7 linked regions of the Ovis aries genome follow. The protein of the gene in region 1 interacts with the protein of each later gene in a pairwise test. Links are inferred from orthologs where the notes say so. Each region holds a gene or a part of one and is shown on either strand. Other genes may lie near its edges. The genes, in order: TRIP6, OIP5, PRKAA2, SIK3, GSE1, NEU4 and FRS3.

The links.
Region 2: the proteins of TRIP6 (region 1) and OIP5 interact in binary tests that used the Homo sapiens proteins (3 or more experiments, as listed by UniProt). The two-hybrid records come from large-scale screens. The link is inferred for Ovis aries from reciprocal best matches to the Homo sapiens genes TRIP6 and OIP5.
Region 3: the proteins of TRIP6 (region 1) and PRKAA2 interact in binary tests that used the Homo sapiens proteins (3 or more experiments, as listed by UniProt). The link is inferred for Ovis aries from reciprocal best matches to the Homo sapiens genes TRIP6 and PRKAA2.
Region 4: the proteins of TRIP6 (region 1) and SIK3 interact in binary tests that used the Homo sapiens proteins (3 or more experiments, as listed by UniProt). The two-hybrid records come from large-scale screens. The link is inferred for Ovis aries from reciprocal best matches to the Homo sapiens genes TRIP6 and SIK3.
Region 5: the proteins of TRIP6 (region 1) and GSE1 interact in binary tests that used the Homo sapiens proteins (3 or more experiments, as listed by UniProt). The link is inferred for Ovis aries from reciprocal best matches to the Homo sapiens genes TRIP6 and GSE1.
Region 6: the proteins of TRIP6 (region 1) and NEU4 interact in binary tests that used the Homo sapiens proteins (3 or more experiments, as listed by UniProt). The two-hybrid records come from large-scale screens. The link is inferred for Ovis aries from reciprocal best matches to the Homo sapiens genes TRIP6 and NEU4.
Region 7: the proteins of TRIP6 (region 1) and FRS3 interact in binary tests that used the Homo sapiens proteins (3 or more experiments, as listed by UniProt). The two-hybrid records come from large-scale screens. The link is inferred for Ovis aries from reciprocal best matches to the Homo sapiens genes TRIP6 and FRS3.

The regions. Positions count from the first base shown.
Region 1 is NC_056077.1:36,218,563-36,222,851, reverse strand, and holds the start of TRIP6 (thyroid receptor-interacting protein 6), read left to right. Parts: upstream 1-1,489; 5' UTR 1,490-1,607; coding exon 1,608-1,716; intron 1,717-1,967; coding exon 1,968-2,095; intron 2,096-2,185; coding exon 2,186-2,311; intron 2,312-2,564; coding exon 2,565-2,951; intron 2,952-3,271; coding exon 3,272-3,365; intron 3,366-3,472; coding exon 3,473-3,642; intron 3,643-4,289. Other genes in the region: SLC12A9 (solute carrier family 12 member 9), read left to right, coding at 1-709. UniProt on the Homo sapiens protein: Relays signals from the cell surface to the nucleus to weaken adherens junction and promote actin cytoskeleton reorganization and cell invasiveness. Involved in lysophosphatidic acid-induced cell adhesion and migration.
Region 2 is NC_056060.1:34,990,849-34,994,348, reverse strand, and holds part of OIP5 (protein Mis18-beta), read left to right. Parts: intron 1-78; coding exon 79-201; intron 202-2,379; coding exon 2,380-2,461; intron 2,462-3,500. UniProt on the Homo sapiens protein: Required for recruitment of CENPA to centromeres and normal chromosome segregation during mitosis.
Region 3 is NC_056054.1:31,252,211-31,255,710, reverse strand, and holds part of PRKAA2 (5'-AMP-activated protein kinase catalytic subunit alpha-2), read right to left. Parts: intron 875-3,500; coding exon 370-874; intron 1-369. UniProt on the Homo sapiens protein: Catalytic subunit of AMP-activated protein kinase (AMPK), an energy sensor protein kinase that plays a key role in regulating cellular energy metabolism.
Region 4 is NC_056068.1:27,259,059-27,262,558, forward strand, and holds part of SIK3 (serine/threonine-protein kinase SIK3), read right to left. Parts: coding exon 3,411-3,500; intron 3,144-3,410; coding exon 3,058-3,143; intron 2,640-3,057; coding exon 2,530-2,639; intron 1,505-2,529; coding exon 1,165-1,504; intron 393-1,164; coding exon 1-392. UniProt on the Homo sapiens protein: Positive regulator of mTOR signaling that functions by triggering the degradation of DEPTOR, an mTOR inhibitor. Involved in the dynamic regulation of mTOR signaling in chondrocyte differentiation during skeletogenesis.
Region 5 is NC_056067.1:11,173,734-11,177,233, forward strand, and holds part of GSE1 (genetic suppressor element 1), read left to right. Parts: intron 1-1,419; coding exon 1,420-1,595; intron 1,596-2,006; coding exon 2,007-2,204; intron 2,205-2,703; coding exon 2,704-2,895; intron 2,896-3,251; coding exon 3,252-3,500.
Region 6 is NC_056054.1:175,575-177,598, reverse strand, and holds the end of NEU4 (sialidase-4), read left to right. Parts: intron 1-486; coding exon 487-1,454; 3' UTR 1,455-1,524; downstream 1,525-2,024. UniProt on the Homo sapiens protein: Exo-alpha-sialidase that catalyzes the hydrolytic cleavage of the terminal sialic acid (N-acetylneuraminic acid, Neu5Ac) of a glycan moiety in the catabolism of glycolipids, glycoproteins and oligosacharides.
Region 7 is NC_056073.1:15,624,630-15,628,576, reverse strand, and holds the start of FRS3 (fibroblast growth factor receptor substrate 3), read left to right. Parts: upstream 1-1,147; 5' UTR 1,148-3,947. UniProt on the Homo sapiens protein: Adapter protein that links FGF and NGF receptors to downstream signaling pathways. Involved in the activation of MAP kinases. Down-regulates ERK2 signaling by interfering with the phosphorylation and nuclear translocation of ERK2.

The sequences.
Region 1 (4,289 bases):
TCCCCAGGACTACGTGGCCACCGTGGCAGACGCCCTGAAGATGAACAAGAACGTGGTCCTGGCCCGGGCCTGTGGGGCCCTGCCTCCCGAGCGGCTGAGCCGGGGGTCTGGGGGCACCTCCCAGCTGCACCACGTGGACGTGTGGCCCCTCAACCTGCTGCGGCCACGGGGTGGGCCCGGCTACGTGGACGTGTGCGGCCTCTTCCTGCTGCAGATGGCGACCATCTTGGGCATGGTGCCTGCCTGGCACAGTGCCCGCCTCCGGATCTTCTTGTGCTTGGGGCCTCGGGAGGCCCCGGGGGCGGCCGAGGGGCGGCTGCGGGCACTGCTGAGCCAGTTGAGGATCCGAGCCGAGGTGCGGGAGGTGGTGTGGGGCGAGGGGGCTGCCTCCGAGGAGCCGGAGGAGGAGGAGGAAGGGGACTTTGTGAACGGCAGGCGGGGAGACGCTGAGGCAGAGGCCCTGGCATGCAGCGCCAACGCCCTGGTTCGGGCCCAGCAGGGGCGTGGTAGAGGAGGGCCTGGTGGGCCTGAGGAAGGGGGCGGCGAGGTGGGGCCCACCACTGCCCTCACCTTCTTGTACCTGCCGCGGCCGCCTGCTGATTCTGCCCGCTACCTGCGCTACCTGGCGCTTCTGGAAATTCTGAGCCGCGATCTGGGCCCCGCGCTGCTCATTCACGGTGTCACTCCTGTTACTTGCACTGATCTCTGAGGCCCATGCCAAGCAGAGAGAGCATCCAGGTCCGGCGGCCCACCGTGAGAGGAGGGTGAGAAGGGGAAGGGCTGTCTTGTGCCAGCCTCGCACGTGGGACTCAGCCCCTGGTGGACGTATTAGGGCATCCTGGTCTCCTGGCCCTGGGTGCAGTTACTAACGCAGGGCAGCTGTCCCCACCACCTTCCTGGGGAAGGAGTCCACAGCCCTCCCTTCGGGCCTCCCTCCCTTCACCCGTGCCTTGCCGGGGGCTGGGTCTCCGCTTGTGACTCTAGGCTACCTCAGTCTCCGCCCCCCACCTCGCCCAACAGACCCCCCCACCCCCGACCCCTGAGGTTGTGATGTTTTTGTTCTTTTATTTTTCTAACTGCTCAATGTGAATAAAAGATCAAAACACTAAATACCGGCTGAGCATTTCTGGAAGCAGAGGGGAGGGGGTGGGTACGTGGGATGGAAAGAGGGAGAAATCTGTATGGGGGATGGGGACAGAGGGGCGTTGGAGAGACTCCGAGCAGGGAGGGGGCCACGTGTGGGACCTGGGGCGCCGGCCTGGGGGTGGGGGGGTGCTGGTGGAGATGCAGGCTGCCGGCAGCCTGAAGACTCGAGGCTCCCGGGGCTCCCGAGGAAAGCGCTCCCTGCTCGCAGGAGGGGGCCTGACTCGGGGAGGGACGGCAGTTTAGGGCCTAGGGGGCCACGTGACCCTCCCCCAGGAATGCGATGATGTCACCGGGGGCGTGGCCATCCCCAAAATTAGGGAGGAAGGGGAAAAAAAAAAAAGCCAGAAAAAGTTTCTTTCCTGGAGTCCCAAGCAAGGTGTGGGACGGAAGAAGGGATCCAAGTCAGAGCCCCGGGGCTCCGTGGGGCCCGACCGGCTGTCTGGAGTCCCCCTTTCCAGACCATGTCCGGGCCCACCTGGCTCCCCCCGAAGCAGCTGGAGCCTGCTCGAGCCCCTCAGGGGAGAGCGCTCCCCCGAGGGGCCTCGGGGCCACCCCCGGCCCACGGATCAGGTAAGGCAGCCCCAGTGAGGCCCAGAGGCCCCCGGGCCACCAGCGCTCTCGGCTCTGCCTTGCGCCGTCCACGCCCCACTGAGCAGGCCCCTGCTGCCCCTTCCCCTCCCAGCCCTCCCTGCCCCTGGCCCTATTCTCGGACCCCAGGTGCAGGGTGAGGGGCGAAGAGGGACCCAAGACGGTGGCCTCCACGGGCGTCGTCACCCTGACCTTCCTCATCCCCACCTTGGCTCTCTCTTCCCTCACCCCAGCGCTCCAGCCCCACCCCCGGGTCAATTTTTGCCCCCTCCCATCCGAGCAGTGTTACCAGACCCCCGGGGGACCAGAGGACCGGGGGCTGGCCTGGGTGGGGTGCCATGGAGCACCCCAGCACTCGCAGGTGAGCACAGGCGCTGGGGGATGGGGCGATTCAGGGCAGGAGGGGAGACCGTGGGATTGCATTTCTCCTTGCTTTTTGCTCCTTCCCCAGGGCCTCCCCCCAGACAGGGGGGGCTTGCGCCCGGGAAGTCTGGATGCTGAGATAGACTCCCTGACCAGCATGCTGGCTGAGTTGGACGGGGGTCGAGGTCACGCCCCGAGGCGATCTGACCGGCAGGTGACTCCCCTGTCCTGCCCCTGCCCCTTCCGATCCTTGACCCCGCCCCTCCCCTGTTCCCTACTCTGAATCCACCCCCCCATTCCCAACGCCCCCCACCCGCCCACAAGCCCCATGTGAGGGATGCTTACTCCGGGCCCTTGTCAAAGCTGGTTCTTGCCTGGGTGCCTCAAGGGGTCGGGGGAGGGGGGTTCCTACAGATGGGTGTCCTGGAAATGGGCCCAGCTCACTCCTGCTCTTCGTCTCTCCCCAGGCTTACGAGCCCCCTGAGCCCCCTGCCTACCGCTCAGGCTCAGGCCCGTTGAGGCCGAATGGAGGGGCGCTTCCTCCCCCGCCGCTCCCAGGGTCCCCCTACGGGGGCCCCACTCCGGCCTCCTATGCTACAGCCAGCACCCCCGCCGGCCCGGCCTTTCCTGTGCAAGTGAAAGTGGCACAGCCTGTGAGAGGCTGCGGCCCTCCCAGGCGGGGGGCCTCTCAGGCCTCCGGGCACTCCCCGGGCCCCCACTTTCCTCTTCCAGGCCGAGGTGAAGTCTGGGGGACTGGCTACAGGAGCCACCGCGAGCCAGGGCCGGGGGTTAAGGAGGAGGCCCCGGGGGTCTCCGGCCCTGCAGGTGCAAGAGGAGGCGGCTACGGGTCCCAGGTACGCCCTGGGCCCTGGGATTTCGGGTCCATCAAAGACAACTGGATGCTGACTGGGTGGGGTGTAGGGGAAGGAGTGTTAATGTTGGAGGTCTGGGATGTTGGGGCTCTGGATCCCCTGTGGATGTGGGGCAGGTCAGGACTAAAAGACGGAGGGGCCTAGATCTACACCCTGGCTGCCAGAGGGGCTCCCCCGGCCCCTGGGCTGGGACTTGTTCTGTGATAAGCTTTCTGGGTAGAACGGTCTGGTCACCCTGGGGACCCTCAGTGACAGCACTGGGAGCTAGAGGTAGGGTCAAACCTCTGAGTCTCACCTCCCAGGTGCCCCTCAGCCAGCCTCCCGAGGAGGAACTTGAGAGACTGACCAAGAAGCTGGTGCACGACATGAACCACCCGCCCAGTGGGGAGTACTTTGGTGAGCTGACCCCCGACCTCAGGGAGGTGGGACTGCAGAGTCAGATGGACAGCGGATCTGGCTTCCCGGCCTGTGAGGGGGTTGACCCTGTCCCTTCCTGTCCCCAGGCCGCTGTGGTGGCTGCGGAGAAGACGTGGTCGGGGATGGGGCCGGGGTCGTGGCCCTGGATCGCGTCTTCCATGTAGGCTGCTTTGTGTGTTCTACGTGCCGGGCCCAGCTCCGGGGCCAGCATTTCTACGCTGTGGAGAGGAGGGCTTATTGTGAGAGCTGCTATGTGGTGAGTGGTTGGGGCCCAGGAGGGCTTCCATGCAATTAGAATGAGTTGGAAACTAGAGGAATAGGGCTTGAAGCAGGGGAACTGACATTGATAAACGAGAAGAAGGGATGAATGAAGTAAGGAGCTCCACACTGGCTGCTGGAAAAGAAGGACGATATTCCCTCATACGTGTGAAGCATTTATTTATCTTTGGCTGCGCTGGGACTTTGTTGCTGCCAGCCGGCTTTCTCTAGCTGCGGTGCGTGGGCTTCTCATTGCGGTGGCTTCTCTTGTTGCAGACCACGGGCTCTAGAGTGTAGGCTCAGTAGTTGTGGTGCATGGGGTTAGTTGTTCTGAGGCGAATGGGATCTTCCCAGACCAGGGATCGAACTCATGTCCCCTGCCTTGCGGGGCAGATTCTTAACCACTGGACTGCCAGTGAAGTCCCAGGCATTTATTTTAGATTTATAGGAAGGTGCTAAATTCTCACAATATCCCAGTGAAGCAGCTACTGCTGCTGAAGGAAAATGAAGCTCAGAGAGGTTAAATAACTTGTCCAGGAAGCTGCAGTGCTGGGGTCAGTACTCAGATCTGTTCAAGGTCACCTTTCACTGAATCCCATGCAGGGGGCTACAGAAATAAGATGGATGGGCTGGCCGGATGCCTGT
Region 2 (3,500 bases), on another chromosome or scaffold:
AATGAGTCCAGAGACGTTATTTTGTATTTGTTCCCTGATTTTCTTTCTTACTCATATCCTGTTTTTTTTTCCCTCCAGCACTTACAACCTTTTATTATGTAGTTCCTGTGAGATTCCCATTGGTTTCCACCTATATTCTACCCGTACTGCCCTGGCTGCCTTGAGAGGCCACTTCTGCCTTTCCAGTGACAAAATGGTGTGGTAAGTAGACTTAGATTTTCTTCAGCAAATAAACTTTAGAACATTTTCCAGAAAAGGCAGAATGTTTGTATTAGAGAAGATGCTAAAGCCAGGTGCTATACTGCTCTTACAAAAAAGATGGCAATGGGACCGAAATAAGTCTCATAATACATGACTATTATAAATGTCTCATAATACTACTACGTATTAATAATCATACTGTGAGGATATTCTTTCATTCCAGGAACTTTTGGAAGGTAAGTTTTTGCAAACTAATGCTGTGATAGACACTTTTCAAGTTCGTGCCCAGCCTCTGTTTGCCTCCTACAGTGCAGGACCTTGTGGCTATATCTGTATCCTATGTGATGCTACTCCCAGGTGATGGGATCAGAAACAGACCTGACCTAAGCTAGGTCAGTCAGGATTTCTAACCCTAATAATTTGAAATAAAAGCATAAAGACATTGGTCATCTGTAGATGGTGTAGGTGCTGCAATGGGGAAGTGAAAGCTCTTGGTTTGAGGTAGATATTTTATATGTTGTGTGTATAAATGCAGAGAAATTTTGTCTGCAGAAAAAGAATGAAGCAGATAAAGTAAAAAATAATTATCATGTGGCCTTATAAAGTCAGAAAAAGTTCCCTATTGGTTGTTCCTTCTTATGAATTACTTTAGATATTTCTTATATTTCTAATTATAAATTCTACTTTTTGTTAAGCTTTTCTGTTATTTCAACAAATTGAAACATCTGTCAAAGTCTTTTCATTATCATTAGAAACAAAAATAGCCAGTGAGGTGCTATGCTTCCCTCAATGTGTTTTTAAGAAAACAGGCTTGCAAATGTGGAGGAGCTGAGATTTGAGTGTATGTCTTAACTCCAAAGCCTGTTTTTCCATTCATAAAACAGAAGTGTACTTCTTCTCTTTTTTTAATGTGCTTTGATAAACCCCTTTATCATGAGGTTGTTCAGTGTAGATTTTTAACAGGAAATATGTTCTTGAGATGGATTGGGATTTCATTTTCTTTCATTCTTAAAATAATTTTTATTTATTTAGAATTAGGTTTAAAGATATGAGGAAAAGTATCTCTAAATATATGCTATTAATAACCTCAAATCTTTTTTAGAAATAGTTATAAGGAATTACTTTAGCACAGTTATAATTGAGTTTTTGCTTAGGGAAGTAACCTTTTAGTAACAAAAAAATTTTAATATAAATTTGAAAAAACATTATTTTAAGTAATGTCTTACGTTTTTAAAATGAGGAACTGGACTCAAAGGTCAATACATTCTTTTTGATTAAGTGGAAGTCAGGAAGACACAACATTGGTAATCAGCTATAGTCCAATATAACATAAAAATAATGAAAATTTTTTAAAAAGAAATTAGGAAAGTACAGTAGCCTGAGTCTGGGACTATGATACGTCTATGTCTGTGGGTATTGGAATGAATTTGGTTGCTAGTAACAGAAAACGTAAGAGTGGCTTTAAGAACAGGGTGGGACAGTTGGCTACTCCAGGATTGTCCTAGTAGCTCAGCCATGACAGAGCTGTGGGTTAGTATCGCTGGTTCTCATGGCTTTTTCTCTTGGATGCTGCAGGTTTTAAGCATCACATCTCTAAAGAGCAGCATCCAGAACTGGAAGGAAAAGGATATGGAAAGTGTGGGAATGCAGGGAATAGGTCCCTTAAGCTGGGAAAGCAACTGTGTGACAGTAGGGAATAAGATTTTCACAGTTAGCCTAGAACAGTTATGATTCATCTCTTAGGACTGGGCACACTGCTGCCCTAAACAAAATCTGGGTTCTGTTAGCAAGAAAGCCTTGAGGAATGGCTGTTGGGTAGGCAACCAGCAGTATTTGTCACAATGTGATAACTTTCCTTCTAACTGTGCTGTAGTCTACTGGTGGTCTGTGAGGCCTACACTCATTACAGTTATTCATGTGACCCTGGTTTTCTGGCTTTAGTTTGTCCTGGGATCATTTTGACTAGTGGATTCCGGGCTGGAAAAGGGTGAGATGAGGCATAGTGTCTCTCTGGTGACTTGGTAATTGAGAATGTTTTTCCTGTGAAATACATTATAAATCAAGAAATGGGTATCAGGAAGAAGGCAATCTTTGCTTGATAGGTATTACAAGTTTGTTTCCTTAATCATCATAACTGTGGTATGGTACTAATGTTTTCTCTTTACACTTTCTATCTAGCTACCTCTTAAAAACGAAAGCCATAGTAAATGCATCTGAGATGGATCTCCACATCGTCCCTCTACCAGAAAAGGTTGCAGAGGTAAATTTTCATGATGGTTGTGTGTTTTCTTTAATATAGACAGTTCCTGATAATCTGTACCCATGAACTTAGGGATAGTGAAATGGTGGATACACTAATAATTCTTTGTACTTGGTTTGGCCTTCCTTATTGAATCTGTGATACAAAGCAAAATAGTGAAGCCGTATTGTCAGATTTGGTTCAGGAGGAGATGGAGAGCTGCTGAGCTTCACATTCCTATTCTTCCTTTCTGTGCTGGGTGTGGACTGTCATCCTTCATAAATCTGACTTCTTTGCAAGTACCTTACACTTAGATATCTCGGAGGAAAGAGTGTTGAAAACCGTTATTAAGGATTCTTATTTAAATGGGTTTTACTAGTGTTTGATGGTTTTGAGTTGAAGAAAGCAGGTTTGTTTTGGTAGCTTGCTGACTTATTCTGAATAGAATTTGGCTATTATTTTACTACCCTCAGAAGAACCACCTTAGAATTTACTGTTGGTTTTGTTTTTAGCACTCTTAATAGTTTATTCCTTGGTAATTATACATTTAGTAACCAGGGCATTTATTTTTCAGAGTTTAAGTACTTTCTAGGATAGGAGAACAGTGTTTTGTTTTTTCTTTTTTGCACGGTTAATTAAGCTTATGAAAGAAACCATGTTCTATCCAGGAATTGGCCAACTTTTCTGTAAAAGAGCAGATGACAAATATCTTAAGCTCAACCATGAAGTCTCTACTTTTCAATTCTGCTATTGTAGTGCAAAAGCAGCCATAGACAATATATAAAATATGGATATAGTTTTCTTGGAATAAAACTTTATTAAAACAGATGGGCAGCAGGTTACCCCACAGTCCATAGTTTGCCAAACCTTGTTCTGAGCAACTAAGTTGGTCAGCAGGATCAGTAAATACTGTAATTAGAAATAATCTGTATGGGAGAGAACTTCTGAAATGGCCTGAGTAACTCCATGGACCCCCCTCTGCAACAAAACTGCCAAAATTGAAGCAAATGACAAATAAAATAGCTACCTTAAGTCTGTGGAAATTTTCTTCAAGGAATAA
Region 3 (3,500 bases), on another chromosome or scaffold:
AATATATATTTTTGAAGACACATGACTTCTGTTATGATACATGCTAAAACAGGTGGACTATTTTCTCAAGGGATTTCAAGTTGATTAAAACCATGTTTCTCAGCCAAGAATGCTATTCTCTAATTCAAAAATATATAGGTACCCAACATCAACAGTTCTTCATCCTTATGAAGATTTGTTTTGTTTTGAATGCATATGGTACATTATTGGAAAGAATAGGATTTATCAGCCCATTTATTTATTGAGACCACTAAATTCACATCAAAACCAACTTTTTATTGATTTTAGTATTCAATTCAGCACCTCAGACAGGCTTACTATACGGAAAATGGCTTCTACAAATGATCTTCATATACTACAATTTCCTACCTTCCATTCAAAATCCAGCTGCTTCATAGCTCGGTAAACTTCAGCCATAATGTCATACGGTTTGCTTTGACTTCGGATTCCAAGATGCCACTTGGCTTTTTTCACAGCTAAAGATTTGGGCTTAGTTGTATTCAGTGCATCCAGTGGACATCGTGCTTTGGGGCTGTCTGCTATAAGAGGTGGCATCCTTTCTGGATGAGGTTTCAGGCCTGGGGGAATATGCATGGTACTATCATCCATAAAAGAACCGGTAGGGGGACTAGAGGCGAGGTAGAACTCACTGGCTTGGTTCATTATTCTCCGATTGTCAATGATAAGATGATAAGCCACTGCAAGCTGGTCTTGAGGGTCACCACTATATAAACTGTTCATTACTTCTGATTCTGTACACTCAAATTTTTCACACACTTCTTTCACAGCCTCATCATCAATGACGTTAGCATCATAGGAGGGGTCTTCAGGAAATAAGTAACTGGGCAAATCTTGTTTAAACCATTCATGCTCTCTAGGAAAGATACCACAATACACTATTGTAAGAACATGCTTTGGCAAGTCCCAAATAATTTAGACATGGGGCAATACAATATATCAGAATCAGAAAGACCTGGGTCTCTAGTCACTTACTAACTATGGGACCCTTAGGTAAGTTCACTAACCCTTGCTCTAGAGTAACTATGATTATTCAGACTTGGGTATTTTACTGATATTTTCACAAAAAGAGATAAAATAAGTCTGTCACTTCAAAGGAAACAACTGGCAGTATTTGGTGCCAGTGATGAAATTCAAGCTTTCAAGTAAAATGTTAGAATTCGGCTTATAACAGAATTCTATATATATATAGAATTGTATATAACAGAATAATTTATATATGTTTCCATAAGTTTGACAGCTTCTCAATATTTAAGAGACTTTTCTACTTTTAGAGTGAAGAGGATAATGACTATGATTTGATAGTTTATAATGAAATGTGTTATCATTCTGACCACCAGGCTATCTCACTAACCCAATATTTTCCATATGACCAATGCAAGATGTTACATAATCATACACGGGCAGAAGCTCCACTCAAAAGGCAAAACAGACCTGTGGATTTCAGTGTAATAAAGTACAAAAGTTCACTGGTATGTTTTCTGATTTGATATTGCAATTAACATATTAAGCTTTGATTTAATATCAAAGGAAAATATCTAACTATGTGAAAGACTATGAGAATGTTCCTCCCTGTTCTAGCAATATCTGAGATCAGATATGTTTCCTAGACTTCAACTAATACAACATATTGCAATAGATGAATGAAGAAGTAGGTATGAAAACCTAGCTGCTGTCTCTGATAAACAGGATTTGAAAAATGTAAAATATCCTCAAAAAATTCTAGCAATTAGAATCCAGCAACACATTAAAAAGATCATACACCATGACCAAGTGGGCTTTATCCCAGGGATGCAAGGATTCTTCAATATCCGCAAATCAATCAATGTAATTCATCACATTAACAAATTGAAAAATAAAAGCCATATGATTATCTCAATAGATGCAGAGAAGGCCTTTGACAAAATTCAACATCCATTTATGATAAAAACGCTCCAGAACGCAGGAATAGAAGGAACATACCTCAAGATAATAAAAGCTATATATGACAAACCCACAGCAAACATTATCCTCAATGGTGAAAAATTGAAAGCATTTCCCCTAAAGTCAGGAACAAGACAAGGGTGCCCACTTTCACCACTACTATTCAACATAGTTCTGGAAGTTTTGGCCATAGCAATCAGAACAGAAAAAGAAATAAAAGAAATCCAAATTGGAAAAGAAGAAGTAAAACTCTCATTATTTGCAGATGACATGATCCTCTACATAGAAAACCCTAAAGACTCCACCAGAAAATTACTAGAGCTAATCAATGAATATAGTAAAGTTGCAGGATATAAAATCAACACACAGAAATCCCTTGCATTCCTATACACTAATAATGAGAAAGTAGAAAAAGAAATTAAGGAAACAATTCTATTCACCATTGCAACAAAAAGAATAAAATACTTAGGAATATATCTACCTAAAGAAACTAAAGACCTATATATAGAAAACTATAAAACACTGATGAAAGAAATCAAAGAGGACACTAATAGATGGAGAAATATACCATGTTCGTGGATCAGAAGAATTAATATAGTGAAAATGAGTATACTACCCAAAGCAATTTACAAATTCAATGCAATCCCTATCAAGCTACCAGTGATATTTTTCACAGAACTAGAACAAATAATTTCAAGATTTGTATGGAAATACAAAAAACCTCGAATAGCCAAAGCAATCTTGAGAAAGATGAATGGAACTGGAGGAATCAACTTGCCTGACTTCAGGCTCTACTACAAAGCCACAGTCATCAAGACAGTATAGTACTGGCACAAAGACAGAAATATAGATCAATGGAACAAAATAGAAAGCCCAGAGATAAATCCACACACCTATGGACAGCTTATCTTTGACAAAGGAGGCAAGAATATACAATGGAGTAAAGACAATCTCTTTAACAAGTGGTGCTGGGAAAACTGGTCAACCACTTGTAAAAGAATGAAATTAGATCACTTTCTAACTCCGCACATGAAAATAAACTCAAAATGGATTAAAAGATCTAAATGTAAGACCAGAAACTATAAAACTCTTAGAGGAGAACATAGGCAAAACACTCCGACATAAATCACAGCAGGATCCTCTATGATCCACCTCCCAGAATTCTGGAAATAAAAGCAAAAATAAACAAATGGGATATAATTAAAATTAAAAGCTTCTACACAACAAAGGAAAATATAAGCAAGGTGAAAAGACAGCCTTCTGAATGGGAGAAAATAATAGCAAATGAAACAACTGACAAACAACTAATCTCAAAAATATACAAGCAACTTATGCAACTCAATTCCAGAAAAATAAACGACCCAATCAAAAAATGGGCCAAAGAACTAAATAGACATTTCTCCAAAGAAGACCTACGGATGGCTAACAAACACATGAAAAGATGCTCAACATCACTCATTATTAGAGAAATGCAAATCAAAACCACAATGAGGTACCACTTCACACCAGTCAGAATGGATGCGATCCAAAAATCTGCAAGCAATAAATGCTGGAGAGGG
Region 4 (3,500 bases), on another chromosome or scaffold:
GCTGCCGCTGCCGCTGCTGCCTTTTGATGAGCTGTGCAAACTCCGCCGGGGGCAGCCGCATGTCCGAGTGGCCGGTGAGTGAGTGCCGGGGGGAGAGCAGTCCCTGGAGGATGTGGGGCACCTGCTGGTGTCGCGTGTAGTCTGGCGGCGTGGGGGACAGCAGGGCCTGCTGCAGTGCCGATGTGGTATAGTGCGGTGGCTGCTGATGTGCACTGGGAGGGAAGGTGGGGAACTGGTCAAGCGGAGGGACTTTCAGGGCTTGGGTGGGAGGTAACCCCGCTCCTGGTGAAGGGTTGTAGCTGCTGGGGGAACCCCGGGACTGGTCCGAAAACAGGTGGGGGTGTATATGCGCCTGGTCGTAGTTAGCAGGGGAGAACCGATTCACGTTCAAGCTGCAGACACAAAAGGGAGTGAGTACCAGGCATCCGTGTGACAAGTGGCCAAACTCCCCGGGGAACGGCTACCAGTCCTCCTCAGCAGCGAGTCTCTGCTGGTACAGAGAACCACAGGGCCACAGGGAGGATGGGGGCGTAGGCATTACCCCCACCACCCCCTTGGGCTTGAGGGTAGCAACATCACTTGAATTAAGATGTGCCCATCTCTTAGAATATGAGTGATGGAAAGAAATAATCCTAGAAGAACAGAGAAGGGGGGTAACTGAAATTTTTACCTACTCCTCTAACTGGCCCTTTTCTTCTTTGCAGACCTATAGTCAGGTGGTAGTGGTGTTTAGTTGCTAAGTCGTGTCTGATTTTTTTGTGACCCTATGGACTATAGGCCACCAGGCTCCTCTGTCCATGGGATTCCCCAGGCAATAGTACTGGAGTGGGTTGCCGTTTCCTCCTCCAGGGGAATCTTCCTGACCCAAGATCAAACCCACATCTCTTGCACCTCCTGCATCGGCAAGCAGGTTATCACTGCACCACCTGGGAAGCCTATATGGTAAGGTAGCTGCGTCATTATCCTCCTGCATCTCACTAGCATTTTGATCTTGAGTCAATATATAGGTTTCAAGTCCATCCCAAGCCCACGGCCTCATTTTTAGTCAGGCTGAAATGAGCACAGCCCAGTCAGAGCCCTTCTGTTCTCCCCTCCTCCTACTAAGGGGCTTCCTCCCACCTGGGTCCCCCGGAGAGATGGCCGGGAGACTCCGGGCAGCCTCACCTGTGGGCCTCCGCACTGTCGGCGCTCAGCTGCTTGGACAAGGGCCGGTGCCCGTAGCTGAGGGCGGCCATCAGGCTGGTCCGGAGCTGCATCTGAACCTGACTGGTGTTGGGGCTGATGGAGGCGCCCCGGCCTGCAGGGGTGGCAGCGGCCCCAGGCATGCTGCTGAGCATGTCGACAGGCTCCTGGACTTGGACGGGCACCTGCTGTGACTGGGGGGGCTGCTGTATGCCCAGGCAGGTCAGTGCCACGTTGGCAGGAGGGGAGCGGTTCTCAGGCTGCTGCTGGAAGACGGCACTGCGGGAGGGGAAGCCTTGAAACTGGGAGGACGATGTAGCACCTGGGGAGAAAGGAGCCCCAGAGTGACCACATGCCCGGGTTACCTGCGGCCAGGGGCCACTGAGGATGCTCAGCTCGCACACCACCCAGGGCAGGGCTCCTCCGACTCCAGGGCATGGAAGCTTCCTCTGGGGGATCTGTGAAGACACACACTCCGGGGCCCAACCCTCAGAAGCTGACTCAGTAGGTAAGGATGGGGCTCCAAGAATTTGCAATTCCAGGAAACTGCCCGTTGATCATTCTCTGAGCAGCTCTCATTCAGGGCAACGCTTCTCAAACTCTAATGCACGTATGAAGGGCCTGGGGATCTTGCTAAAACACAGATTCTGTTCCAGCACGTCTGCAACAGGATCTGAGATTTGATTTTTCCTGCTGATGTTGCTGGTCAGGGACCCCACTCTGAGTAAGAAGGGCTTTGAGTCCAACTCAGGCTCTTCAGGGGCTCTAGACTGAGTGGCGTTACTTAAAGAGATTCTCAGTTTTCGGAACACTAACCCCTCAGAATGCTGGCCTCTGAAGGACCGTATAAATTAGGGCCCGCTCATCTTTGCCTCCATCTGAACACCCACAAGAGAGGAGCCATGTGCCCAGAGGACCACCAAACTCAGGCGTGACAAGAGGGACGGTTCTGGTAGTAGCCCATTCGTTTGGTACAGTTGGAAGGGACATCAACTGTATGTTGATGAAACATATGTTATGAAAACATCAATACCAGTCAACCACTATTTGAGAACTATATTGTTCCAGGGGCTATTTTAAGTATTATACCTAACATATGTATCTCATAGTCGTATTATCCCTGTCTTACATTTGAGGAAGCAGAGATGCCCTGAAGTTCAGTGGTCTACCTGTGGTCTCACAGCTAAGGAGCTGGCAGCAGCAGGAGCCAAGCCAAGGCAGCCTGGCACTAGAGCCACTCCCTTACACAGCATGTTGCTCCGTCACCCCAACCAGTGGCTTGGGGCAATCAAGACGAAGCCTCACTTCTCCTGCAGCTCACGGCTCAGAGAAAACCTCTGCACTCACCGTGAGACTGTATCATGGCGCTGCTCATGGGGGGAGGGCTGTTACTGGGCTGTCTGAAGAGATGGTTGTTGGGATGGTTGGGAGGTGGGCTGGAAGGCTGAATCCTTAACCTTAAAAAACAACAGAACCAGATGAGTAAATACACTTCCTGAGGTGACGATATAACCTTGAAGTTAGTTTCAGCCATTTGATACCCACAGGCAGAAACTCCACTTTTAGTTTTGATAAGCTTCCAGGCTAGAAGGCCACCCATCACAGTCTACTGAAAGCCTGTCTACATCTTATTTTCCCAGATGTCCCAAGGAGGCAGGGGTCACTGTGGGCCTGCATCTGGCCTCCTGCATTAGGTGTCAGATTACATGGTTCATGGGGATAAGAAAATGAAGTGGCACAGGAAGTCAGGATTTTAGAAAGCTGCCGAAATTTAAATTGGTCTTCCTGCTTTTCAGATGGGTTTTTCCAGGGTGACTGCTATAGTCAGTCATGTGAGTTAGGCCAACAGCTTAGGCAAAGAACATGTTTCATTACCTCTGGAGCTGGTGGGTGAGGAGGGCGGGCTGATTTTCACATGCAGCCTGAAGAGGTGGAGAAGGCTGAGGAGCACAGATAGAGTCCTAAAATACGTGCAAGAAAGGAGAGAAAAATGCTCGTGAGCTTGAAGACTAACCAGGGCCATTCTCGGGACGGGAAGAGACTATCTGCGACTGAGACTTATGCTCCCGCCGTTCATCGAAAGGCTTGATTACCTGGACTCAAACATGGCAACCACACAAATAACTCAACTCCACTCTGCCCTGCGTGATCTCCTCCAGCACCGACAGGCCCATTGGCCTGCGAGCAAACTCCAGACAAGTTGGAGAAAGCGGAGAGGGAAGGCCTACTTGAATCTGCTGCTGGAGAATTTGGTGGTGCTGCTCCTGCTGGTATAACATATGCTGCTGCTGGGTCTTCTCCAGGGTTCTTTCATCAAT
Region 5 (3,500 bases), on another chromosome or scaffold:
GCCCAGACCCCGGGCACAGGGTTCAAGGCCTCACCCCTCTCGTTCTGGCTGTGCCCCGTGCCAGTGGCGGGGGTGTGAAGGGCTGCAGCTGTATGTGCAGGACCCGCGTCCTGTGCACGTCCAGCAGGCGGGGGCCCCTGGGCAGGGTCAGTCATGGGGGCCCATCCAGGGCCTTGGGGACTGGAGGGGAGTGCTGGCTTCCTGCCCTGACTTGCGTGGGGGGCTCGCCCTCGACCCCCCAAGCCTGGTGAAGCCCGCCTGGGAAAGAGGGTGTCGGAGTTCACGCCCTGTGAGGGGCGGCCTGCCATTCGGGGTGGGAGCACGGGCGGCCTGGCCACGGCATGGCCCGCCGCTGCCGTCTTCTGGGGCCCAGGAGGTGCCACAGCCGCCTGCCCGGGTGTTCCGTAGACACGGTGATGGGTGGGCCCCTCCTCTCTCCGGGAGCTGTGTGGTCCCTCCTGTGCCCCCCGCATGGGGAGCGAGGTGACCTGAGGCTCTGCCGCCCCCATCTTCTGACTCCAGTGGGGGAGATGCCAGGCAGACAGCGGAGGGTGTCTCCCTGACCCGCTGCGTCCTGCTCTCCTGTTGCTAACTGGGGTGGCTGGGCCAGGCTTGACGCCAGGTGAGGAGGGCACCATGCGGCCTGGCGAGGGAGGGCCTGGCGCGTGGAGCTCTCGGGTCGGGGAGGCCAGGCAGCCGCGTCCTCCTTGGCCGTGTGGCGACGGGACCCTGGGCCAGTGGCTGTTAACGCTCCATGCCTGCCGCTTGCTCCCTTCCGGCCGTGTCAGCGACCGGAGTGACCGAGCCTCTCCACGGCCTGCCAGTCTGCAGCCGGACATTCCTGCGGGTGGGCCTGCAGGGTGTTCCTCTGTGTGGCCGGGGCTGGTGGGGCAACGCCTTTCCCTTCCTGCCTTGCATGAGCCCCTTCTGGTTTCCTGGGGTCTCCCCGCCACTGAACCCTCCAGGCCCCAGGTCCCTCTCTTGGACAGGAGTCTGGGCAGGCGGGCCCACAGCCCCCACCAGTGAGCAGAGGTCCCCCGACAGGTCTGGCCCCACAGCTGCCTGCTCTGGCCAGAGCCAGGGCCGACCAGGGTCTGTCTGGGGGGAACAGGCTGGCCTGTTTGGCCCGAGGCAGCGCCAGCTGCTCAGCCACATCTTCCGGGGGCACTGAGGCCCAGTGATCTGTGAGGCAGGCCAGCAGCTGCCACCTGGGCCCCTGGGACGCCGGCATGATCGGGTGATCGGGTGGGCGGTGGGCAGGGACTCAGCGGCTGTCACCCCCACCGTGGCGTGGAGACTGTTGCAAGAATGTCTCCCTGAAGCTTGACTGCTCTTGTGTGTCCGGAGGAAGGCCTGGCCCACTGCCGGTGGCCGAGCTACAAGCTGCCCCTCGGCCCTGACCTGCACTCTCTTCTCCAGCAGGATGCTAGCTCCCGGGGCGGCAGCAGTGGCCGCGAGCGCCTCATCGTGGAGCCCCCGCTGCCCCAGGAGAAGGCGGGGGGCCCGGCCATCCCCTCGCACCTGCTCAGCACCCCCTACCCCTTCGGCATCTCACCCAGCTCGGTGGTGCAGGACTCCCGCTTCCCACCGCTGAAGTAAGTGTGGGCTGGGGGTTGGGCACGGTGTGGGGTGGGACCCCCAAGGTTCTGGCTGCCGCGAGTCGATACCAGCTGAGCCCGAGAGCTGCCCGGTGGTGGCCGCGCCCTGGGCTGGCAGCCCTGCTGGCCGTTGCCACTTGTGCCCGCGGCGGGCTCTCTGCCTGCCTGACCCTAACCCCCCAGCCTGGCTCCTAGGGCCGGAGGTGGGGGGTGGTCTCCCCACGCTGCAGGTCACAGACCCGTGCCCTCTGGTGAGGGGTCAGGCCGGCCCGAGGAGCGGCAGCTGCCCACCTCTGGGCCCTGGGCCTCCGGCAGGGACTGCCATTTCGAGGAGGGAGGTGGTGGCGGGGGGCTGGGCGGTGGCCCAGGGGCCCGGAGCTCACCTCCGCCGCCCCCTCCCGCCCGCAGCCTGCAGCGGCCTGTGCACCACGTGGTACCCCCCAGCACGGTGACTGAGGACTACCTGAGGAGCTTCCGGCCCTACCACACGGCCGAGGACCTCCGCGTGTCCTCCCTGCCCCCGCTCGGCCTGGACCCGGCCACCGCCGCAGCCTACTATCACCCCAGCTACCTGGCCCCGCACCCCTTCCCGCACCCGGCCTTCAGGTGAGGCGTCCGGACGTCCCCAGCCACCCGCGGGCAGACCCCGGTCTGAGACCAGGTTCCCCGACGGGGGGACTGTGGGGTGGGCCGCTCCCCCAGCCTCTGGATGCGCCGTCCAGAGCTTACTCCTGGAGGGAGACTCTCGCGCCAGCTGGCCTCCCTGGCTCCTCCACTTCCACTCAGGATTCCCCAGGCGCGCGTGACTGTTAGTGCCCGGAGCAGACGGCGCTATGCCTCCACTCTGTGTAGGAGCTTCCCAGGTCAGATGGTCAGACCTGGAGGGGCCCCACTGGGCCTGGCCCAGCTGAGCTGAGGGGTGGCCGGCGGGGCCTTGTGGCCTCTGGGAGTGCAGGGCTTTGGGGCTGGCTGTGGAAGGGGGCTCTCCGGGACCTTTGTGGAGGCCCTGTCCGCCGCTCCCGCATTAGTACCTGTGCCTGGGGGGGAGCTGGGTCCTGCCTTCCTCTCCACCGTGGCCGCTCACCGGCCCCCTCTGCCCCCACAGGATGGACGACTCCTACTGCCTGTCAGCCCTGCGGTCCCCCTTCTACCCCATCCCTGCCCCCGGCTCCCTGCCCCCGCTGCACCCGTCGGCCATGCACCTCCACCTCTCGGGTGTCCGCTACCCGCCTGAGCTCTCCCACTCATCCCTGGCGGCGCTGCACTCAGAGCGGATGTCCAGCCTGAGCGCCGAGAGGTAAGCGAGCCCCGTTCGAGAGCGTGGCTGGGCCAGCTGTGCTTGGACAGCCACCCCTGCCCTCGGCCTGCTTGTCTGCAGAAGGGGCACTGCCGGGAGCTCCCAGCTGCTGTCTGGAGGCCATGTCCTCACAATCGCTGGCTGCGGCCGGGAGCTTTCCAGGCTCCTGGAGAGTCTCTGTCCACGGCTTTCAGTCTCCAGTGGACGCTGAGTTTTTTCTTGGCGTGTTAGCCAAAGCAGAACCTGGCCCGCGGCCCGTTCCCATTGGGGCGGGGAGAACCCCGGGCTCACGTGTGAGCGCCTCGCTCCTGGGGGTTCTCCCGCCACGGAGGTCACATCCCTGTCCTTACCTCCAGGCTGCAGGTGGACGAGGAGCTGAGGCGAGAGAGGGAGCGCGAGCGCGAGCGGGAGGCCGACCGCGAGCGCGAGAAGGAGCGGGAGCGTGAACGCGAGAAGGAGCGCGAGCGCGAAAAGGAGCTGGAGCGCGAGAAGGAGCGTGAACTGGAGCGCCAGCGGGAGCAGCGCGCCCGCGAGAAGGAGCTGCTGGCCGCCAAGGCACTGGAGCCGGCCTTCCTGCCCGTGGCCGAGCTGCACGCGCTGCGGAG
Region 6 (2,024 bases), on another chromosome or scaffold:
CTGTGGGTTCCCTGAGGGCTGACCACCCACTGCCCTCTGGGGCCAACCTGCCCTTGGCTTGTGGGTGCTGACCCAGAGGTCACTCACACTCTGGCAGGTGGGAGCTCTCTGCTGGTGTGGACCCCACCCCAGGGGACTCGATCCCATTGTTAGGAGGGGCTGCTCAGACCTTTCAGCCCTCAGCTGCCCCTCTGCCTGGGCATACTGGGTCACCGGGCACCACCAGTGGCCATGCATCCGTGCTCGGGGACCGGCTGAGAGCCCAGCCCGGGGCCGCCTCGGCTTGCAGCTCCTGCTGACGACCCGAGAGGCTTGTCCAGCCTGGGGGAGGGGCCCGGAGGAGCGGAGGGTGGGGGCTTCCTCCCGAGCTGTCCCCTAATGAGGGGCCCTGGCCCCCGACCCTCCCCGTCCCGCGGGGTGGTGGTGCCGCCTGCCTGCGGCCACAGCTGCCCCCTCCTGGGTGACCCGGGCCCCTCCTTCCTGCAGACTGGGCCACGTTTGCCGTGGGGCCCGGCCACGGTGTGCAGTTGCGCTCTGGCCGTCTGCTGGTGCCGGCCTACACCTACCACGTGGTCCGGCGGGAGTGCTTCGGCCGGATCTGCAGGACCCGCCCCCAGTCCTTCGCCTTCTACAGCGACGACCACGGCCGCACCTGGCAGCGTGGGGGCCTCGTGCCCAGCCTGCGCTCGGGCGAGTGCCAGCTGGCCGCGGTGGACGGCGGGCGGGCCGGCGGCGTCCTCTACTGCAACGCTCGGAGCCCCCTGGGCAGCCGCGTGCAGGCCCTCAGCGTCGACGAGGGCACCTCCTTCCTGCCCGGGGAGCTGGTGCCTGCCCTGGCCGAGACTGCCCGGGGCTGTCAGGGCAGCATCGTGGGCTTCCCGGCCCCGCCCGCCAGTGGGTGGGGGGATGAGGGGCGGTCCGCGGGCACCAGCAACCCCCTCTGCCTTCCACGCCTCTGTCCTGGGGCCGGGGAGGCCCCAGAGGAGGGCACTGGAGACACCGGTGGGGGCGGGGGCCTGGGTGGGATGGAGGGCTGTGGCGACGGCCCCGGGGAGCCTGGTGAGAACTGGGGCTCCTGGGCCTCAGCGCTCCCGGGACCCCCTGCAGCCTTGTCGCAGAGCCCCACGTGGTTGCTCTACTCCCACCCGGTGGGGCGCAGGGCTCGGCTCCACATGGGCATCCGCCTGAGCCGGTCCCCGCTGGACCCCCACAGCTGGACGGAGCCCTGGGTCATTCACCAGGGCCCCAGTGGCTACTCGGACCTGGCGTCCATCGGGCCTGCCCCTGGGGGCGCGCCGACCTTCGCCTGTCTGTTCGAGAGTGGGGCCAGGGTCTCCTACGAGGAGATCTCTTTCTGCCTGTTTTCCCTGCAGGAGGTCCTGGAGAACGTGAGGCGGGGCAGGGTGCACCCCGGGCCTGGAGACAAGCCTGCGGGGCGCTGCCAGCCCTCCTGATGAACCCCTGGCTGGGTTCGGCCCTGGTGCCCAGCAGGGGCAGGGCGGAGGGCAGGGCGGTGGGCGCTGGGAGGCGGAGGGCAGGGCGGTGGGCGCTGGGAGGCGGAGGGCAGGGCGGTGGGCGCTGGGAGGTGGAGGGCAGGGCGGTGGGCGCTGGGAGGCGGAGGGCAGGGCGGAGGGCAGGGCGGTGGGCGCTGGGAGGCGGAGGGCAGGGCGGAGGGCAGGGCGGTGGGCGCTGGGAGGCGGAGGGCAGGGCGGAGGGCAGGGCGGAGGGCAGGGCGGTGGGCCCTGGGAGGCGGTGGGCGCTGGGAGGCGGGGGCACAGGTCCCGTGGGCAGGGGGCTGCCCCCGGGTGACCCGCGCAGGCCCCCTCCCAAGGCTGTCCGCGGGCTGGGGGCCTGGGGTGGGAGGGGGCACGGGGATCCTAGTGGAGCACACGGGGCTCGGTTGTCGGTACGGCCTTCCTCTAGCCTTGCTTGGCTCACGACTTTCTGGCTTATGAGCGAGAAATAAAGGGATTCTGCGTCACTTTCCACTTTCACGCATTGGAGAAGGAAATGGCAACCCACTC
Region 7 (3,947 bases), on another chromosome or scaffold:
GTAAACGGGCTCAGGAGTTCTACTTTCCTGAAGGGCAGAGGCCAGGGATTGGGAAGTTGAGGGGTGGGGTGTAAGGGATGAAAGATTTCCCCGGACAGTGAGAGGAAGAAAGGTTCGAGAAGTTTCTGGTACTGCCAAGTGCCCTCTTGACAGATCCCCAGGTTTTTTCTTGGCTTTCTCAGGGCCCACCTCCGAAGCGGGAAGCGGTGTGGTTCTCAAGTCAGTTGGAGTGCCCAGTGCGGCTGCTGGAGTTTAGGAGAGGGGACGGGACTTCGCCGGGGTCTCACCCTTGCTGAGCGCTGGTGTCCGGGCAGCTCTGCACAGACGCCGCTGTCGGGCCCCTCACCCAGTCTCCACCTCCAGGTCTAGGCGCCCGCCTCTGCCCGCCCCCGAGAGCGCGGCCCTTCCTCTCCCAGCACCCCCACTCCCCGCCCCGCGGGCCCCGTCCGCCTCTCCGGGGCTGGTAGGGCCCGACGGCTCGGGGAGGGGCCTAGAGCCGCTAAGTGAAGGAAAGCATTTGAGGGATATCGGGTGAAAACGGTGCAGGCTCCACTGCTCCCACGCCCGTGGGCTTAGTCCTGGGACCGCATCTCTGCGGGCGCTGAGCAGACACCCAGGAGACATCGTTATGCCGGGTTCTCAAGCACTCGCTGAACAAAACGCCTTTCGAAGCCTGCAGGTCCCCCCAGACCTTCTTCTGGTCTCCTAGACCCGCCCTTGTCTGTGTGTCCCCACCCCCACCTAGTTCCCTCCCCCTTGTCCCCAGCCCCTTTCTGGGGTCCCTTGTACGACCCTTCCCCGTCCCATCCCTTCAAGTTCCTCCCCCATCTTTCGTGTTTCTCCCCGGTCCCGCCCTGGCTCCGGTCCTTTTTCTCATCCCTGGAGTGGAAACCTTTGGTCCCACCTCTGGTCCCCTCGGCCCCGCCCTGAGCCCCGCCCCCGCCCCAGGCTCCGCCCCGTCCCCGCTAGGCTAGCTCTGCCGCTGGCCCGGAGCGCCCTCTGGTGTCTGCGCATGCTCCCTGCTCGCTACCGCAAAGTCCTCCAAAGGGACCTTCTAGGCTGCGCGCCGGTCGCCCCCGATCGGGTCCGCCTGCCCGCAGCGTCTCGTTGGTGCAGCCGATGACCTCCGACCCCGCCGCCGCGGGGCGGGGAGGCCTTAGCTCCGGGCGGGCGGCGGCTGCTGCAGTGGGACCCGGGAGCGGGGCCCGGCGCCGCCCGGGCCGTGGGGCGATGTGAGTCGGGGTGCGGCGGGGCGGGGACGAAGCGGCTCCACCGAGGCCGCACCGCGCCTCGCCGCAGTCTCCGCTCCCTCCCGAGGAAGTCCCGGGAGGGCGGGCGGTGGAGCCCCGGGGCTGGGGGCGGGCATCTAGGGACTACGCGCGGCCCTGACCTCCCCTATTCCTTCCCGGCATCTAGAAATTCCCGTCAATTCTGTTACCTAAATCTGCCTCTAACCTCCCAGAACCACCCCATCCCCACCCCCGACACACCTTCTCGTGTCCTGGAGTCCCGAGAACCCCGGTCTCCTGCAAATTCCCCTGCTACGCCCCCAGAACCACCATTCTCTCTGGGATGAACCCAGATGCTTCCGCCGTCCTGAAATTCCTCCGAGTCTTCATGCTTCTCCATTCTCCTTGCACCGTGCTCAAATCCAAAGCATCTGTCCACCTTTCCCCAATCCCTCTCAGACGTTTTGAGTCTCCATAACCTCAAACTCCTACTCCCAGTCCACATCTGTCTCAGAGCAGAGCCTTCTCCTCCTGTCACCCGATGTCACCCCCTTAGCTGGGCTGTCATATGTTCTGGTATCTTTAAGAGCAGTGAAGGAAACAGGAAAAGATACAGCGCCCTCTCCCATCTTGCACCCTGCAGTTCTTGGCTTCACCCCCACACTCCCTGTTGGTGGCTCAAGCCCCAGTATTTACCCAGCTGCCCGTCTTTACCCAGCTGTGCACATCTTCCTCAGCCCGCTGCCCCTTCCAGAGAGTAAGCCAGACAGAGGGTAGGGGTCCTTTTACCTGGAAAGTACCCAAAGATGCAGAGCACATGGGGCCCTGGGAAATGACCTTGTTTTTCCAGAGCAGGAGGGTGGGATTTCAAGGATCTCCAGGGTCCTGGCTTGTTGACTTGTCCACCTAGGGCTCAGATTACTGAAATTTTGGTTGATAGCATTTCTGTTAAATTATAGGCCTTTTGGAGCTTGGAGAACAGAAAGTCTATCAAGGTTCCAAATGTGAAATTGAAGGAGCTTGTCCTAGAAGAGGAAAATGTTGATTTTAGTGGTGTTTGTCCTATGTACTTACTTCTAGAGGTGAAGCTCCATATTTTACAGCTGTTTCCTGTAAAAAACTGGAAAGCTATTTCCCTTAAAGGCGTTGGGGTGGGAGTTGTGGGTGGCGATGGAGGGTCTGCTTGACAGACTCTCTGTGATACTTAGCAGCAACATAGAATATTGGTTTCCTGAATCTTAAGCCATTGCTCTTTCCAATACATCTTCGTGTCCTCTTGAGAGATCTCTCTGTAGAGTTCAAGTTCTCTGCAAAGGTAAGGTGATGATCTTGGTATTGGTTGTAACAGGATTCAGAGGGGGTCTAGAAGTGACTTAAAATGTTCTGGCCTGTCTCGGACTTCAAAGTCACTGTTTCCAGGGTAGTCTTTCCCTCTCAGGGCCTATGGGGCTTAGAATTTGTGGTCCCTTTGGCCTTGATCTTTCTTCATTGGCTTTTATATACCATTATAGCCTGGAACGGATATCCCAGTGGGGTGGACTGACAGCAAGTCAGTTTCATCAACCATTGAGGGGTGAGGATAGAAGTTTTCCACTAACCTGTGGTCTCTGTCTCCTATGCTAGGTGAGCCCCAGGTGTGTCCCAGGGAGATCCAGGTGACTTCTCTGCAGACTGCTTGCCATGCCACCCCACCAAGAACAGGGGGAATAAAGTGGGGGTCCTTCCCCATGCCCCTCCCATGGTCAGCTCTCCAATGGCCTGGGTGAGGTGAGACCCGTGTATAGGAGCCACTTTTCTAGAATTTCCCAAGTTGGGAGGAATTGAGGGTGCAGGTCAGGATTGTTCAAGACTTTACACTTTGAATGGGAGTTCTAGAAAGTATCTAGTCCCACCGATTCCTTTCTTGCAGCAAGTTGCAAACCCATAATTTCTGGTTGGGATTGGTCCATGGGTTTGCTTGGTCCCTTAGGTCACTGTAGCCTGGTGGTGTCATCGCCATTCCAGCCACAGTCCCAAATGTTGTGACATACAATTTGAGTCCCATAATCCGGGAGGGAAAAGCCGGGTAGTAAGGCCTCTGGTCTCCCATTTGGACAAAAGGGAACAAACCGAGTGTTTTTTAAATGAAGAAATGCCTACTCAAGGTTATGAAAATAGTGCTCTGTTTTCAATTTCAATTGCCTGAATATATCTCTTAACCATAACATAACATCTCATTTGAAGAGAACATCAAAAATAAATTTGAGATAGATGTTATAACCTCAGATATGCAGATGACGCCACCCTTATGGCAGAAAGCGAAGAGGAACTAAAAAGCCTCTTGATAAAAGTGAAAGAGGAGAATGAAAAAGCTAGCTTAAAACTCAGCATTCAAAAAACTAAGATCGTGGTGTCCAGTCCCATCACTTCATGGCAAATAGATAGGGAAACAGTGAAAACAGTGAGAGACTCTATTTTTTTGGGCTCCAAAATCACTGCAGATGGTGACTGCAGCCATGAAATTAAAAGACGCTTGCTCCTTGGAAGAAAAGCCATGACCAACCTAGACAGCATACTCAAAAGCAGAGACATTACTTTGCCAACAAAGGTCCATCTAGTCAAGGCTATGCTTTTTCCAGTAGTCATATATGGATGTGAGAGTTGGATCATAAAGAAAGCTGAGCACCAAAGAATTGATGCTTTTGAACTGTGGCGTTGGAGAAGACTCTTGAGAGTCCC